Macaca mulatta: one gene and its partner. The protein of the gene in region 2 purifies or fractionates together with the protein of the main gene of each other region. This does not show direct contact. Links are inferred from orthologs where the notes say so. Each region holds a gene or a part of one and is shown on either strand. Other genes may lie near its edges.

Region 1 (8,422 bases), on a different chromosome or scaffold from region 2:
TCTGTATCTATTTTATACTGCTGCATTAAAAAGAGAAATTCTAGCAGAAAACAGATCAGTAATTGTCAGAGGTAAGGGCAGAGGGAAGGGTTATATCTACAAAAGGGTCACAAGGGGGAATTTTTGGAGGATGGTGGAGGTGTTTTCTATCTTAATTGTGGTGGTGATCCCATGACTCAATGTTATTTGTCAAGATTCATAGAACTATACAACAAAAACAGTGAATTTTACTGTATATAAATTTAAATTATTTTTTGTTAGATAAGACTGTAAAGGTGGGAAAAAAGAGATCTGTAAAGTTACTCACCAAGGTGGGGTCAATATCCTCAATTGCCAGAAGTCTGTTATATATACTGTGAACCTTTTCATACTTCATGCGACTCTAAGGTGGTAGAGAAGAAGTGAGTATCAACATATGGTCATAAATAAGCAGGATTTGAGCTCTAAGGAGTCCAAAAGCTATAACCTCCCACCCCCAATGGCATCTCCATTGAGCATAAATATAGTATAAGCTGACAACTAATAACTGTTCATTTGGCATCATCTCTGTCTACCAAAAGCAAAATGCCTGGCAAACAACCAGCCAGAAAAAAAGTTCAGTCCTGCAGTAAAAAATTGAATTATAAGAAGGCTCTAAACATTTTTACTTACCTCTTCATAATCTGCATATGCAAAATAAAGAAGCATATTCTTCTTCAATAAAGTGCTTATGGCTCTTTCATATATATTAGCAGCTTCATCACTAAATAATTTGGCATTATTCATATCCTAGGAGAAAAAAAAGAAAGCTCATCTTCAATAATTCTAATATAGTTGTGAGAGAATAAAATTAATAGTTACATCTATTTTATTTATTTATGTGTCTAAGAAAGCATATATATATGTACACACACATATGTGTATTCACACACACACACACATAAACACATATGCATTTCTGGATTCTAAAAAAATTCCAAAAACTCCCTTCAGTAGTTTAACTTACAAAATAACCATGCAAGTACTCTAAATGATTCATCACTTTAATATGTTAAAAAACTGCCAGTTTATTTTAATTCTAAGGCGATCTAATTATATGAGTGTCACTAAGATTCATATGAACGTAAGCTTAAATTTTCAATACTTATGCTTTACTACCAAAATTCAGTTATATTTTTCAGTAAATCATTGCTATATCAAAACCACAAAAATATCAAAGTGGGGATAGGGAAGGAACACTTACTCCCTTTTCTGCAAGCAGTTTACTTGACTGCTCAAGATACTGGGCAGCTTCATACCAAATATCAGGGTGATGGCCCAGCACAAGCAGGCACTGTTCATAAGCAAACATAACTAAGGGAAGAAATTAACAAACAACATTCAATTAAAATAATAATTATTTGTAAAACTATCAATATAAGTATCATAACCAAATTAGGATCCTCAAAAATCAATGATAATTAGAAATAAAAACCATCATCCATCTAAGCTCCCTCCATCTATCCATCACTTATTATTTTTTTTTATTTTTGGAAGCAGGGTCTCTGTCACATAGGCTGGAGTGCAGTGGCACAAATATGGTTCACTGCAGCCTCGACCTCCTGGGCTCAAGTGATTTTCCTGCCTCAGCCTCCCAAGTAGCTGGGACCAGGTGTGTGCCACCACATCTGGCTTATTTTTTAAAATCTGTGGCCGGGTGCGGTGGCTCACACCTGTAATCCCAGCACTTTGGGAGGCCAAGACGGGCAGATCACGAGGTCAGGAGATCGAGACATCCTGGCTAACATGGTGAAACCCTGTCTCTACTGAAAAGCAAAAAATTAGCCGGGTGTGGTGGTGGACGCCTGTAGTCCCAGCTACTCGGGAGGCTGAGGCAGGAGAATGGCGTGAACCCGGGAGGCGAGCTTGCAGTGAGCGGAGATCGCGCCACTGCACTGCAGCCTGGGTGACAGAGCGAGACTCCATCTCAAAAAAAAAAAAAAAAAAAAAAAAAAATCTTGTATAGAGACGAGGTTTCACCATGTTGCCCAGGCTTGTCTTGAACTCCTGGGCTCAAGCAATCCTCCCACCCCAGCCTCCCAAAGTACTGGGATTACAGATGTAAGCCACTGCACCCAGCCTAAGTTAATACTTATCAAGCACCAACTATATGATAGGGAATGTGGAAGGCACTGTGAATATACAAATGAATAAGACTTCCTGTATTCAAGAAGTCTGCAGTAAATGGGGAGGATAGACAGAAAGCAAAGATCAAAAGTATTATAATGATGAAAGTATAGTATACTCTGAAAACTTACAGCAAGAGAACTTAACATAGTTTAGGGACTCAAGAAAGGCTTCACTAAGGAACTGACATGTAACACAACACCTGAAGAAGGGATGAAGCTGGTCAGAGGCAAATAAATGAAGTGGCGTAAGGATGGGGTAGATACAAAAATGGCGTAGGCAAAGGAAACAATATTTGCAAAGACCTACAAGTAAGACAGCAAGCCAAGATTGAGGAATTCATAAAGCTCCAAATTAAGAGTCTGGCACTGGCATAGTAGTTTGTATCAGACCAACCCTCAGCAAGTAAAAATTATAAACAAACACAAATACAAAAGCAACTATCTAAAGGTACTGGAAATGACCAAAAGAAGCAGAAATCAGGATATTGAGCCCTTAGAAAGGTAGAACACCACTAGGTGAAATCCACATTTAATATGGCTTTTCCCTTCAAGCGCATGCCCATGTTGTGCACTTCTGGGATAGCTAGAACTCAAGTCAAATGCTGCAGTCATACTGTCCTGAAGTAACATGGAGTTCTGGCCTATGAGAGCAGCTGGAAATTGAGGGGAGACATCCCCAAAAGGAGAAAGCCAGAGCCTGAAAATCTGGGCATAAATGTTCTCAAATCCTCACCTGATCCCTAAAATGTACACACACAGGAAAGGATACAACCAGACCAGCAGAAAACAAAGCTGGAAGGCGGAAAGAGTTGAATAGATACCTCAGCAACTAAGGGAGATGAAGTTTAGAATTTGAGTCCCATCCGATTAGATGGTTGGGGCAAATACCTTAGACTTTTCATTGTCTTAGGAGTAAAGACTATGTCCCGAGAATAAAGTATTTAATCTGAGATTAAGGGTAAAACTAAAACAGATCTGTCTTCATAGTATAAAACCAAGCCTCCACAAAGTCCAAGTAATCTGACAGTAATACTTAACTTCCTGCTAAAATAAAAAAACATTCTTCAGAGGAAGATGACAGAATCTAGAGTCTTTACAATGTTTCATTTGTACCTTCGTACAATATCTAAAAGAAAAAATTTAAACAGGAAATAGGAAAATGTAAACCACAGTCAAAGAGAAAAAACAATCAAAGAAAATAAACTCCATGGTGGTTGAAGGCCCAGATGTTGGAATTGGCAGATGAAGACTTTATAACTACTGTTATAAATATGTTCAAAGATATAAAGAAAAAGATGGTAATGAACAAACAAGGAATCTCAACTAAGAAATGGACACCATAAAAAAGAACTATAAAAATAAAAAATTTCTAACATGGAAATGTATAGAACTGAAAAATATTGTATCTGAAATAAAGAATTCACTGGATGTGCTTAATTGCAGACTGCATATGATGAAAACAAAGGTTCAGTGAATATGGAGATAGATCTATAGGAATTATTGAATCTGAAGAACAAAAGAAAAAAAGATTATGGGTAAAAAAGTTTTGGTAACCTATGGGGATACCAAGTGGCCTAACATACATGTAACTGAAGTCATGAGGGTTAATCTTGTTACCTCTTTTTGTTATAAGGGTCTGATCCTCTGTACGAAGAGGGTTGCTCTTTTCCCACTGTATATATTTCTTCCACATATCTACTTGTTGAGCTTCTTGAGGAGTATTCTGAGGAGGCACCGAGGGAGCATTACGGTCCAAGCCTTTCATTACTGTCTCATATTCCTAGACAACAAGCATTTAGAATTCTTTGGTGAGCCAGGAACAACTCAGATGTATGGGGGATGGGGTAGATCAGTTTGGAAGACTGTTCAAATGCCTACTTTTTCCAAATACCACTTTGTTAATATAATCTGAAAACTACTTAAGAGTAGAGAGAAAGATGAGAGTATTATCCACTCAAGAACAGGTTCCCAGGAGTGGGTGAACAAAACACCCATGGGCCCTCTCTATAAGTGATCTAGGAGGTTACTTTACAGGATATAAGAGTTGACAGATCAATAGAATTGAAGATCTGGTGGCATTTATTATTGCCATCTTTGGAGAAACTGTCTTCTACAATTTCAGTAGTTTATATTAATAGGCTATTTTTCCTAACTTCTAAGAGTGTCAATGAATGGAAAGGTATGCACACAATCAAAATGTGTCACTGAGAGCTATGTTATTAGATCACAGAATAATACAATATTCAGACAAACCCAAATAAGAGAGGGAAAAGAATTACTTCATCAATTCTAAGTAGAGTCTTATCTCTATGTCCTGTTTCCATATTTTATAAAATAATTTCTTCTAAACCCAATTTATTATATTTTGTTCGTACAAAGAGATATTTCATTTCAAATATGTCATCTCCTCAGACTTTGCAATTAATTGCTGTTAAGATTGCTAATGATTGAAAATATCAAAAGTAATACCAGACAGGGAAAGCTCTGCTGTAAACAACAGGTTCATAATAATCATTAAAATAGATGGATGGAATTCCATACCTTTGCTACACGTCTAGCATTCATATAATCTCTACTCCGATCTTCAATCATTTTTTTAGCTAAATGAATATTGATACCCTAGAAAAAACAAAAATATTTTAAAATTAAGTATAGTTTCTTGAAAATTAGCATAATACAGTTAATTTATTCATTTACTAAATAACTTTAAATTCTTTATTTTAAAAGATTTCTTGTTTAATAAAGGTTCATACAGCTCATGAAAAGCAGGAAAAAAAAGGTTCAATCACATTATACATTTCAAAGATTAAGGAGGATGTGCTTACGTCTTATGAGCTGGCAGTAAGTTTCCATTTATCAGGAACTTTTAAAGATAGAATCATTTGAAAAGGGTCAATTATTTCATATAAGATTCTACTAAAAAAAAAATGACATGGCTCATGCCTGTATAGGAGGCTGAGTTGGGTGGATCACTTGAGGTCAGGAGTTCATGACCAGCCTGGCCAACATGGTGAAACCCCGTTTCTACTAAAAATACAAAAAAATTAGCTGGGTGTGGTGGCGTGCACCTGTAATCCCAACCACTTGGGAGCCTGAGGCAGGAGAATTCCTTGAACTGGCGAGGCAGAGGTTGCAGTGAGCCAAGATCGTGCTATTGCACTACAGCCTGGGCGACAGAGCGAGACTCCGTCTCAAAAAAAAAAAAAAAAAAAAAAAAAGATGTACAGATTCATCTGGGTGAATAGCCATGGTTTGACTTTGATAGCCCTTTTTCTTTTTTATAGACAGAGTCTTCCTCTGTCACCCAGGCTAGAGTGCAGTGGCGCCATCCTAACTCACTGGAACCTTAAACTCCTGGGCTCAAGTAATCCTCCTGCCTCAGCCTCCTGACATAGGACTACAGGTGTATCCTGCCAGGTCTGGCTCATTAAAAAATTTTTTTGTTGTTGAGACGTAGTCTTGCTATGTTGCCTGGGCTGGCCTCAAACTCCTGGTCTTAGGCAGTCCTCCCACTTCAGCCTCCCAAAGTGCTGGGATTACAGGCATGAGCCATCACACCTGGCTAATAGCCCTTTTCTAACTAGTTCTGTTGTATAACACTTTTTAAAGAGACAAACAGAAGTAGCAAGGAAAGATAAACATTACCACTCAGTGAGTACTCCAAGGATTCTAAGACCCTTTCAGGGAGTCCATGAGATCAAAATAGTTGTCATTATAATACTAAGACATTATTTGCGTCTCTCATAAAAATACAGGAGTTTTACAGAGGCTACGTGACATTTAGTATATAACACACTGAATGGAAGCAGATGTGAAAATCCAGCTGTTTTCTATTAAACTAGACATGAAAGAGATTTGTGAAAATAGAAAATAATGCCACTCTTCTAACTACATTTTTTGTTTTGGAAAATACAGTTTTTGGTCAGGCATAGTGGCTCGTGCCTGTAATCTCAACATTTTGGGAGGCCAAGGCAGGTGAATTGCTTGAGCTCAGGAGTTCAAGGCCAGCCTGAGAAACATGGAGAAACCCCATCTCTACAAAAAATTAGCTTGAGAGTGGTGGCGCATGCCTGTAGTCTTAGCTACCTGGGAGGCTGAGGTGGGAGAATCACCTGAGCCCAGGAAGTTGAGACTGCAATGAGCTGGGACTGTGCCACTGCACTCCAGCCTGGGTGACAAAGTAAGACCCTGTCTCAAAAAAATAAAAATAAAAAATTCTTTGTGATCTTCAATAATTTTTAAAATCCAAAAACCATAAAGTTTGAAAACCACAGCTGATGCCTGTGAGGGAACAATTTCACTACCCTATATAGTTCTTCGAAATCACAATATACATACGAAGAACTTTCTTTTTTTCTCTTTAGAGATGGGGGTCTCACCATCTTGCCCAGGCTGGTCTCAAACTACTGGGCTCAGGCAATCCTTCTATCTCGGCCTCCCAAAGTGCTGGGATTACAAGTGTAAGCCACCATGCCCAGCCAAGGAACTTCCTTCTCTAGAGCTTATTTGGCATGTGTATTTATGTATTCAGATTGATTAGCTCAGTTATTAAAAGCAGATACCAATAACACAAAGATCTTGGATTGTAGCCACACACTTCACAAATTCAAACCAATAATCACATCACTGTAATCAGGTGATAGAGGTACACAGCAACTAAAAAATAATTCCCAAAAGGTACTATTGGAAACATAATTCCCAAAAGGTACTGTTTTATAGGTCAATGGCAATGTGTATGTGTGTGTATGAATGTGTGGACATGGCTTAGCGCAGACAAAAAATAGTTTTATAAGAACTACTGTTCTTCAGAGTATCCTCTAAAAAATAACACTAATATGGAGACTCTCAAAACCTTGCAAAAACATTATAGTGCTTTCATTACAATCAATAAAGAAATGTGTAACACTGATATAGAAAAGCTATAATCTACAAATCCACAATGCATAAAAATTAAAATGGCTTGGTTTATAATAAACAACTACTCTGACCTAATTTACCTCTTCATACTTGTTATAGTCTCTCCAGAGTTGTTCAATGTTGATCATCGGATTAACACAACCTCGTTGATAAACTCTTCGGACAGCTGTTATTCTTTGATTTTCTGCATAAGATCCTACAGCTTCCCTGAGATTGTATAAGAAATGCCATCAATTATATTATAGCTAAATCTCATTCAACCCAGCAGTCTCACTACTGGATATCTACCCAAAGAACAACTCTATGGAAAATAGTATGGAGATTTCTCAAAGAACTAAAAATTATATTTTAGCTAAATCAACTGTTTATATATATATATATGTATGTATATATACACACAAATACTTACACGCCTTTTAGGAAATTGATGTAATCCACCCAAATCTAAGAAATAAAAATAAAATGTTAATATCTTTCTTGGTATTTTCACATTGAAGTGCATATATTAAAAAGTTTTAACTCTACCTGATAGGACATAATTTCCATTCCAATTTTATCCAGTGCAAAGTCATATGCTTGAGCCATTTTTTCTCTGAAATGAACATGAAAGACGTGGTTTTTAAATTCTTTTGTTATTAAAATTTATCTACAATTAGGCCAGACATGGTGGCTCATGCCTGTAATCCCATTGCTTTGGGAGGCCGGGGCAGAAGGATCACTTAGACCCGGAGTTCAAGACCTGCCTGTGCAACATAGCAAAACCCAGTCTCTAAAAACATAAAAATTTTAAAAATTAGCTGGGCGTGGTGGTGTGCACCTGTAATCCTAGCTACTCGGAAGGCTGAGGTGGGAGGATTGCTTCAGCCCAGGATTTCAAGGTTACAGTGAGTTATGAATGCACCATTATACTTCATCCTGGGTGACAGAGCAAGATGCTGTCTCTAAAAAAAATGAAACATAAATTATTATTTGAAGATAGGTATAGTGGTTCACTCCTGTAATCTCAATGCTTTGGGAGGCTAAGGCAAGAGGATCATCTGAGGCCAGGAGTTGGAGACAAGCCTGGGCAACACAGTGAGACCTCGTCTCTATAAATAAATAAATAAATAAATAAATAAATAAATAAATAATGTGCTTATAAGTAAAACGTAGCTTCTGATCACAGGATCAGAACAACATTTGAACATTTTCTATAAACAAAAATTAAAGACATCTTTGTAAGTATATAAAGTCATTATTTGATGTTAAGCTTGTCAGTATCATAAATTGTTTCCCTTATCTACTGCTTGTGAGTTTATCAAAAATAAGGCTCATGTCTTACTTATCTTTATATCCTTTAAGTTGCATAATTCTATACA
Region 2 (8,945 bases):
CTGGTTATATGGAACACGGTTAAGATGGAACATATTCTCAATGTAGAGATTGACAAGTCTTATCTGTGTGGCAAGGCAGCACATAGCACCTATTGTTAACTTCATGACTGGGGCCTGGCAATAAGAGTTTAAAAAAAAAAAAAAAAAAAGCCCTAAACCCAAGAAAGAAAAAAGGAGACTGGGCCTCTTTTTAAAAAAACACAACAACTGCTAGTAGTCCACATTTTTAAAATTAAATGTTCTTCTTTTTTTTTTTTAAATTTAAATTTAACCAATCTTTTCTCACTCCTGTCCTTAGACATAATTCTGGTTCTGGGGGAATGTGAATTTTTTTTTTTTAATGCTACATTAAAACTCTTTGAGAAAAAGAGAATGTCAACTTTTCATCTGTGCATTCCCCAAAAAACTGCGTAGTCCCTTGAAAAAGAAACAGCTCAATAAATAAAGAATAAAAGCCAAGTTATATAAAAAAAAATTACATACACGTTTAAGGAACACAAAACTCTACAACAGAAAAGGAAGAGCTGTATAGGAAGGTAGTTAAGAGAAAACTGGGTATGAGGTCAGATAAAACCAGGTTCAGAACTATATCTGCCACTTACAATTGTGTCCATTTTTGGACTAGCTAACCTCTCTTTTCTATCTCTGAAAACATTTATTTATTTAGAGCAGGAGCTGGCAAATGATGACCCATGGGTCAAATCGGGCTCACTGCCTGGTTTTGTAAACAAACTTTTATTGGAACACAACCACACACACTTGTTCACATATTGCCTATGGCTGATTTCATACTACCATGGCAGAGTAGCTGTGGCAGATCCTGTGGCTTGCAAAGCCAAAAATATTTACTATCTGATCATTTACAGAAAAATGTTTGCTGGCTCCTGCCCTATACCTCTGCCAATCTGAGAGATGAAAAATGGTAGCTTATTGTAGTTTCTATTTACATTATCTTTTAACATTACATGTATTAATAATTTATTACATTATCTTATTTTGAGGTTGAATACATTTTTATATATTTACTTTATATTTCTACTTTTGTGAAATATTTATGTCCATTTCCCATTTTTCTACTGGGTTATTGGAAATTTTCTTACTAATTTATAGGAGGCCTTTTAAAATGTATTATGAAAAATTACAGATATACAAATCATATAGGAAATAAAATAGCCACGCAGCTTGGGAAATAAACAATAAAATACACCAATGGCCTGTATGGTCTTCCCCAATTGCATCCTGTGCTCTCTTCTCCTTAGATGACCGCTAAGACATCTTCCTAATGTTTTAAAATTTTATAGGAATCATTACATACTCAATATATTATTTTGAAACTCACTCCACATATTTTGGGGATTTATGCAGAAACATATATCCTACATTTCGGGAATGCATCCACATTCACTTAGTTTCATGTCCGTATGTTATTGTTTTGGAGTTATTTGTGTTGATATTATGTATCCTAGTTCATCTTAACTGCTGTATGGAATTATGTTTTTCAGAGTCATTCATGTTGATACGTGTAGTTCATTTAACTGTTGTACAGTATTTCACTGGATGAATGTACCACACATTTTCTCCATTCTTCCATTGATGTACATTTAGGACATTTCCAATTTTTCACTCTAAGGCAATAAACATTTCTGTGCATGACTATGGGCTCTTTATTAGTCTGTTGTCCATCACATGTGTGGCAAATACTTTTTCTCAATTTGTCATGTCTTTGATACTTATTTTTTTCTTTATATAGAAATTTTTTAGTTTTCAAATGTATCAATTTTTTATGGCTTTAGGGTTTTGTGTCATGCTTTGAAAGCAAGCTTTACTTTTTTCATTGGTAAGAATGGAGATAATAAGAGTGCCAACCTCATACAATTGCTTTGAGGATTAAATGAGATAATGCATATGGAATAACAAAGTGCCAACCACAGTGCCAGGCATGCACATACACACAAAGTTAGCTTATAAGAAAAGGGCATACAGGAAGGATCTCTTTGTTTTACAAACTTGGAATCGAATCTATATTCATTCAGATGTCATGTGCTCTGCAACCTGGAAATTGCTTTTATGCCTGGAAATTGAAATTATCATCTCTGGTTCCTGACCATTCTTCTTTCAATATATTCTCCTAAAAAGAAAATGACATTCTAAGACAGATAAAAAAAAATGTTAAGGGATAAAGCCCTACCAAAGACTGGGCCTGAGGGGCCTGAGGATTCTGCTGGTTCATTGACACATTGGATCCTGACCCAGGCCCAGCACCATGGACTGGCTGAGGGTTGCCTGCAATCAGCGTTGGGATATTTGTCTGGCGATGCAGAATTTTCTAAAAAGTGAAAAGACAAACCTATAAGCTGTCTGTTTAACAAAGCAATCAGGTAGTTCCTATCCCACTCAAGGTTTACCCGACCATTTCCATAAAAGAACCAGAAGCACTCACCAGGGCAATTTCCGGATCCACAATTCTCATCACTACCTGTGCTTGCAGCAAAGCATAAGCCAGTTGAGGGTTCTGAAGCAACATGTTCCGTGCCTCCTGGGGACTATTCTGGACACAGAGCTGAGAAGATAAGCAGATTCAGGTTTAATACTTATGACTTAGAAACTGATAGTGATTTAGAGTCATTCCCCTCTGAGAAATGTAATATTCAAGAGGCTCTTTATCATTAGTTTTTGCATGGCACAAAAAAACCTTGGTCATGGCAGGCAAGAGAAGAAAGAGGCATTTCAAATACTGTGATACTATCATTTAGGAAAAAAGCCAAATTTTAATATCTACATCTGACATCTATGGGCCACAAAAATCCAGCTGGATTGTTTGGATAGCTGTGTTTGTGTACAAAAATAGAAAGCTCTTTGTACAAAATGTAAAATATACTGTGTACATACAGAATATTGAAGGTGCAAGAAATGGTGGTCTACAGACAATTTCTATTTGAGCTCAGGGAACTGATTCAATTAACTCCTTGAAAACCTGATGTGGTTTGCTTTATTCATAACCTAATGCCTCCTCCCACCTTCATTTGTTTCATCAGCTCAAACATCTGCTCTGGTGGAAGGCTGGCAACTGCTTTGCTAATGGACTCAGGGGCATCCTCAGGACTGATGGTCTCTCCATAAGGTGACTCAATGACAGGGGCACCAGTGCCAAGGCCTAATCAAGAAGAAAGTACAAGAAAGTTAGGGAGGCAAAACAAAAAGCTAAATCATTTCAAGTATCTATTTTTCAGGGCTGCTGTAAGAACCAGCTGATAATTTTAGATTCTCCAGAGCTGAGAAATAAATGATTTGAAAGCCTCTTGTTTCTGTGGAGGAAAGTGAGAGTGTATTTTCTGTTCTCAGAGGAAAGCTGGGGATCATGATCACATGGAAGGACAATGTTAACCTAAGTTAGAGAACTGGGAACACTGACTTCTTTTGACAAGTCATTTCAGAAACAAAATGTTAAAAGAGAATAACATGCTAATTTCAAAAACTCCTGAAAACAGTGACAGGAATGACTAATGCCATAGTTAGTACTACTAATGGCTTGATGAATTTGAATTCATCTTTAACTGGAAATAACTCCTTAACAATGGAAAAATTTCGTTTTTTTTTTTGGAGACAGTCTCACTCTGTTGCCCAGGCTGGAGCAACTGAAGCATTTCTAATGTCAACTTTACAGTTTCTTAAAGATATCCACTTACTAGCAAGTCTCCAGCATGCTTAGGTCTGCAGTGACCCTATGCATTCCTACAGTGCTTGCCAGAACAGTTTTGAAATGGTTTGAGGCCTTGCCCTGCTCCATCCAGAGCAAGGGTATAGAAATTTCAGACAATTACTTGAAAAAAAATTTATAAAAAATTTTTTAAAAGATATATATAATACTTGCCTAACTCAGGCACATCAGATCAGTCAAGTAATAAACAAGCTGTGTGGCTAACCATTTCAGCATATTCTAAAACATAGCAGAAACGGAAAATCTTCATTGTTACATCTTTACTAACTCACACTGCATCCAAGTTGGATTTGTACTCACTCTTCAGCTCTTCTTTGTTCTTTTCACTGGCAGCATTGTCCACTCGAAGTGCTCTCCCACTGAATTCACGCCCATTCAGGTTCCGCATGGCACTAAGTGCTGTCTCTTGGTCTTGGTATTCACAGAAGCCATAACCCTTTGGCTTTCCTGTCTCTCTATCATATACCAATCTGGAGAGCAGAACCAAGTGTCAGGAACAAATGTTACACACATACAGGGTTCCTGCTAACATTGCCATGCTTTAATTGGGCCCACTGTAACATAAATAACTTTACAGCTCTGACAGCCTCACAGAAATATTTTTTAAAACTTTTTCTTTTTTTTTTCCCTGAGATAGAGTCTCGCTCTGTTGCCCAGGCTGGAGTGCAGTGGCACGATCTTGGCTCACTGCTGTCTCCGCCTCTTGGGTTGAAGCAATTCTCCTGTCTCAGCCTCCTGAGTAGCTAGGACACAGGCATGCGATACCACAGCAGCTAATTTTTGTATTTTTAGTAGAGACGGGATTTCACCATATTGGTCAGGCTGGTCTCGAACTCCTGACCCCAGGTGATCCGCCTGCCTCGGCCTCCCAAAGTGCTGGGATTACAGGCAAGAGCCACTACGCCCTGCCTAAAAAACATTTTTAATGAAAAAAACATATTTTAGGTAAGAATAAATGTCAATTGTATAGTATATCAATTATATCTAAATAAAGCTGTTACAAGAATAAAGTGTATGTGAAAAGTCACCAGTAAAGAAAACCTGCCATTACTAAGAGCCAAATCTGTGGTAATTTTTAAGAAGCTCCCACCATGAAGTAAAAGGGGATCTCACCTGAAACTAACAACAGGTCCAACCTCAGAAAAGATGTCCTTCAACTGTTCTTCAGTAGCTTCATAAGGAATGTTCCCCACTAAGGAAGAAAACAGGTAACATTAAAATTCCGAGTTTATAACATAGATCTTTAGTGAGAAAGTAAATGACAGAGTATCTACTTATATCATCAAATATAAGGCTCAAAATAGTGTTCTCCAATCCCAATTCCACTGTATTTCTCTAGACCTCTTAACAAAGGAAATGTACCACTGAAACTAAATACAAAATGTGTAGGTACTCTTAAATGTTAATTCTCAGACTGATCTGACAAGTGTTAGATTTTCCTTAACTTTGGTGAAAATAAATACTTCGGCACTGGTATTTACCTAAAGATCTGCAAGTCTCATCAGTGACTACAAAAAATATCAATGTTATTTAATATAATTTTTAAAACAGGTTCATATGTATTTCCACACATACAACATTTAAGGGAGAATGACCATGAATGTAGTGAAGGATGTTTAAAAATTATTCTGAACTACTTTGTCATGTCCCTTTCAAATGGCACTCTAAAATAATCACACGTATTTTTAAAAACAACTTATTTCAGCCAAAAAGATAATTCAGAATCATTTCGATCCTTTTTAAAATTCCTCTGAGGAGGTCTTAACAGTTCATTCATTCATTCATTTACAAGACATCTCAGGACACCAGGTGGCCTCTACTACTATTGATGAACTAAAATGTTACGGATAAAAAGCAAAGGATGAAAGTCCTTACGAGAGAACAGGAAGTGGACACTAGGATCTATACCCTCAGCATATAGTCTGTATTCTGGGGCAGAGGATGAGAAGTAGTACGGGACAGTGAGGAGCTGTTGCCATGCGCCCTCTCCTCTAGAGAATAATTAAAGCTCATGAAAGGAGACACGCACAGAAGCTGAACGCTAGTCTAACTTCCCCAGTGATATTGCGGAAAGCCTACGAGACCTCGGCAGAATGGGAACATCTCTTTGCTCACGAGTCCACCAGGTTGGACGCCCTACAGGATAGGCAGGGAGAACTGCATGTCCGAACCGTCAGCGGCTCCGGTAGCGATTCATGAGATAGGAGGTGCAGAGGGGAGTCCCTCCCCGAAGCTTGGCTCCAACGAATTCCTCTCACCGAACACAGAACGTAGAGAACGATCCACCGCTGGGTCTCTCACAGTCAAACCCGCCATAGCTCTATTGAGTCGGCTTCCGGTGCGCCAAAGCACACTTCCGTACGGAGCACAAGCCCAGCGCTGAGCACGCTTCCGTACGGCGCGTGAGCCGGAAGTGCCTGGGTGGAACGGACGCAGAGCCCCTCCCCTGGCGACCTTCTGTTAGCCGCAGGCGCGAGTTGCGTCCACCGGAGGACTCAACCCCCACCCCTGAGATTAACTCTGTTCCGAGCCAGATGCAGGCGAGTCCAGGCTAATTTGAAGGGTTTCAGCCTGCAGACTTCCTTCTTATTTTCTCTTAGGTTGATGCAAGTACTCGTTAACCACAATAAAGATGGCGCAGCGGCTTTACCATGGTAACAGGGAAGTCTTTTGCTGACAACTGTGGCGCTTGCATTTTAGTTCCGCCCTATCAAGGGAGGGAAATGCTTGGGCGCGTCCCAGCAGCGTGCATATTAATTTGCTAAAGCTGTGCGTGTATGGAGTGAGATGAGGAAAGGGTATGCTAGCCGAGAGAAGCATAGTTGAAGAAATGGGAGAGGTAAAGGGAAAACAGACCTCTTTCTGTCCTGGTGTAGTCCGTGGGTTCCATGTGGTTCGTGGTGGGGCGGTGCGGCTGGGGATTCTGGCAGGCAGGAAACAGAAAACGTCATTCATTAGTTTTTCCACACTTTGGTGCCCACGCTCCTGTGATGTGGCATGCAGGGCAGGTCGTTGTATCAGCCCGAAAAGGCAGACCCTGCCGGGGTTGGAGGAAATCCAGAGGGCACCTCAGGAGGACAGGGTTAGGGGAGAAGCAAAAGAAGGAGCCAAGAGCGCTACCTTTGAGGGACTTGTCCGAAAAGGGAAGACAGTAAAATAGCCACGGAATTGGAGGCACGGACGTTTTTATTAATTCCACATGTATTAAAAGTATACGGACCGGGTGCGGTGGCTCACGCCTGTAATCCCAGCCTTTTGGGAGGCCAAGGCGGGCAGATCACCTGAGGTCGGGGGTTCGAGACCAGCCTGACCAACATGGAGAAACCCTTTTCTACTAAAAATACAAAATTAGCCGGGCGTGGTGGCACACGCCTGTAATCCCAGCTGCTCAGGAGGCTGAGGCCAGAGAATCGCTTGAACCCGGGGGGTGGAGGTTGTGGTGATCCGAGATCCGCCATTGCACTCCAGCCTGGGCAACAAGAGTGAAACTCCGTCTCCAAAATAAAAGTATATGAAATATGATAAATATTTAGAAAAAATTAATAAGTGCTAGTTTACACCATGGAACATATCACTTAAAGAATTTCTGGTAAAGATGGAACGTTTGAGAAGAGTATTCTCATTTTCCATGACTCTGGAGTCCCATTTGCAATCATTGCGTGACCAAGAGGACACCTTGTGTAATGGAATAGTCCAAAACGAGATTTACAGCTCTGTAAAAGGCACAGTTTCAAAGAGTTTTGGTGTGTGTCATTGTTCCGTTGTGGTGAACTTTTGCTAAATGCATGTACGGCTGAGTATATTTCTAACTCAGTGTTTGGCAAACTTACATAAACAAAAGATTCACCTGGGGTCTTTAAGTAAGAGTATAGATTCCTGGGGCTCCACCCCAGCCCTATGGAATGGGACTCTAGGGAAAGAACTTGGGAATCGTTATATTTAAACAAGTGCCACTGGTGATTCTTAGGGTCAGGTAATTTGAGTAGTATTGTAGTTATTGAGGTAGCTTTATGGCAGCATTTAAAACACGCATGCTTTCTTATGAAATTTACCTTAAAGTAGTTCTCGAAGTTCTCAACCCTTGTGGAGGAGCATGTTTGGAAATGTACAGGGGCATTTTCAGTTGTTGCAATGACTACTACTAGGGGAAGAGAAGCCAGAGATGATAAATGGACTGCCATGTCCCAGGCAGTTCTACACGATGAACCCTTTCCCTCATTGAATGCCAATAATGTCTCTCCCCTTGAGAAACACTTAATATCAGCCATATTAGACCAAATGGACCCTGGATCTGAAGGCACTGCCTTCAGCTGAAGGCACTGCCAGCCTTGCATAAATAATTTGTGCTTCAGTCTTCCTGTAACTGGGTAGCTGATCCCAATGAGTTAGTAGTAGTAAAAGCTAACATTTATTAAGCACTTGCTCTGTCCTCATTGTATTGGTTTTCCATTGCTGTGTAACAAATTTCCACAAACTTAGTGGCTTACAGCAACACTCATTTATTAGCTCACAGTTCTGTAGGTCAGAAGTTTGGGTGGACACGAGTGGGTTCTTTGATTAGGATCTCACAAGGCTGAAATCAAGGTGTTGGACTCTTATCCGGAATCTTTGGGGGAAGAATCAGCTTCCAAGCTCATTTTTCTTGTTGGCAGAATTTGGTTGGTTGTGGTTGTAGGACCGAGGTCCTTTTTTCTTTGCTGGCTGTTGACTGGAGGGCTGTAGCTCTTAGCTCCTAGGGGCTTCTTTTTGGTCCTTACATGTGGGTTTCTACATTGAAACCTTATGCTGTGAATCTCTGACCAGAGATTCTTTTGACCAGCTGGGGAGAACTCTGCTTTTAAATGGCTCTTGTGTTTAGGCAAGGTCTAGCCAAATAATCTCCCTGTATTAAAGTCAGCTGTGCTATGTAAAAACCTAATCATGAGAGTAAAATCCATTATAATCACAGTCTTAGGAATTATGCAGGGCAAATACATCAAGTGGTCAAGAAATCTTGAAGCCAGTCAACTATACCCATTTTATTGATAAACATCTCTAAAGAAGTTTCAGTAACTTTCCCTAGGTCCCACAACAAGCAAGCTAAGGCATGGTTTGAGCTCAGGTTGCTCTGGCTTCAGAGACTGCTTAATTGTTACATCGCCTGCCTCTCAATATAACTGAGGAAATGTGGATGGCTCAGCATATTTCGTCACTGTTTCTGGGAAAGAGTATAGAACATGTGACCTGG

What was found.
Region 1: the proteins of CSTF2 (region 2) and CSTF3 fractionate together in Homo sapiens (co-fractionation; 4 studies listed by BioGRID and IntAct, with this or other methods). This does not show direct contact. The link is inferred for Macaca mulatta from reciprocal best matches to the Homo sapiens genes CSTF2 and CSTF3.

What each region holds. Positions count from the first base shown.
Region 1 is NC_133419.1:32,173,041-32,181,462, reverse strand, and holds part of CSTF3 (cleavage stimulation factor subunit 3), read right to left. Parts: intron 7,657-8,422; coding exon 7,590-7,656; intron 7,509-7,589; coding exon 7,474-7,508; intron 7,272-7,473; coding exon 7,145-7,271; intron 4,767-7,144; coding exon 4,689-4,766; intron 3,928-4,688; coding exon 3,765-3,927; intron 1,333-3,764; coding exon 1,223-1,332; intron 769-1,222; coding exon 652-768; intron 383-651; coding exon 308-382; intron 1-307. UniProt on the Homo sapiens protein: One of the multiple factors required for polyadenylation and 3'-end cleavage of mammalian pre-mRNAs.
Region 2 is NC_133426.1:107,701,028-107,709,972, reverse strand, and holds the start of CSTF2 (cleavage stimulation factor subunit 2), read right to left. Parts: upstream 6,064-8,945; 5' UTR 6,035-6,063; coding exon 5,977-6,034; exon of another isoform or gene 5,822-5,976; coding exon of another isoform or gene 5,803-5,821; intron 4,911-5,802; coding exon 4,832-4,910; intron 4,189-4,831; coding exon 4,019-4,188; intron 3,820-4,018; exon of another isoform or gene 3,687-3,819; intron 3,155-3,686; coding exon 3,018-3,154; intron 2,561-3,017; coding exon 2,441-2,560; intron 2,327-2,440; coding exon 2,189-2,326; intron 1-2,188. UniProt on the Homo sapiens protein: One of the multiple factors required for polyadenylation and 3'-end cleavage of mammalian pre-mRNAs. This subunit is directly involved in the binding to pre-mRNAs.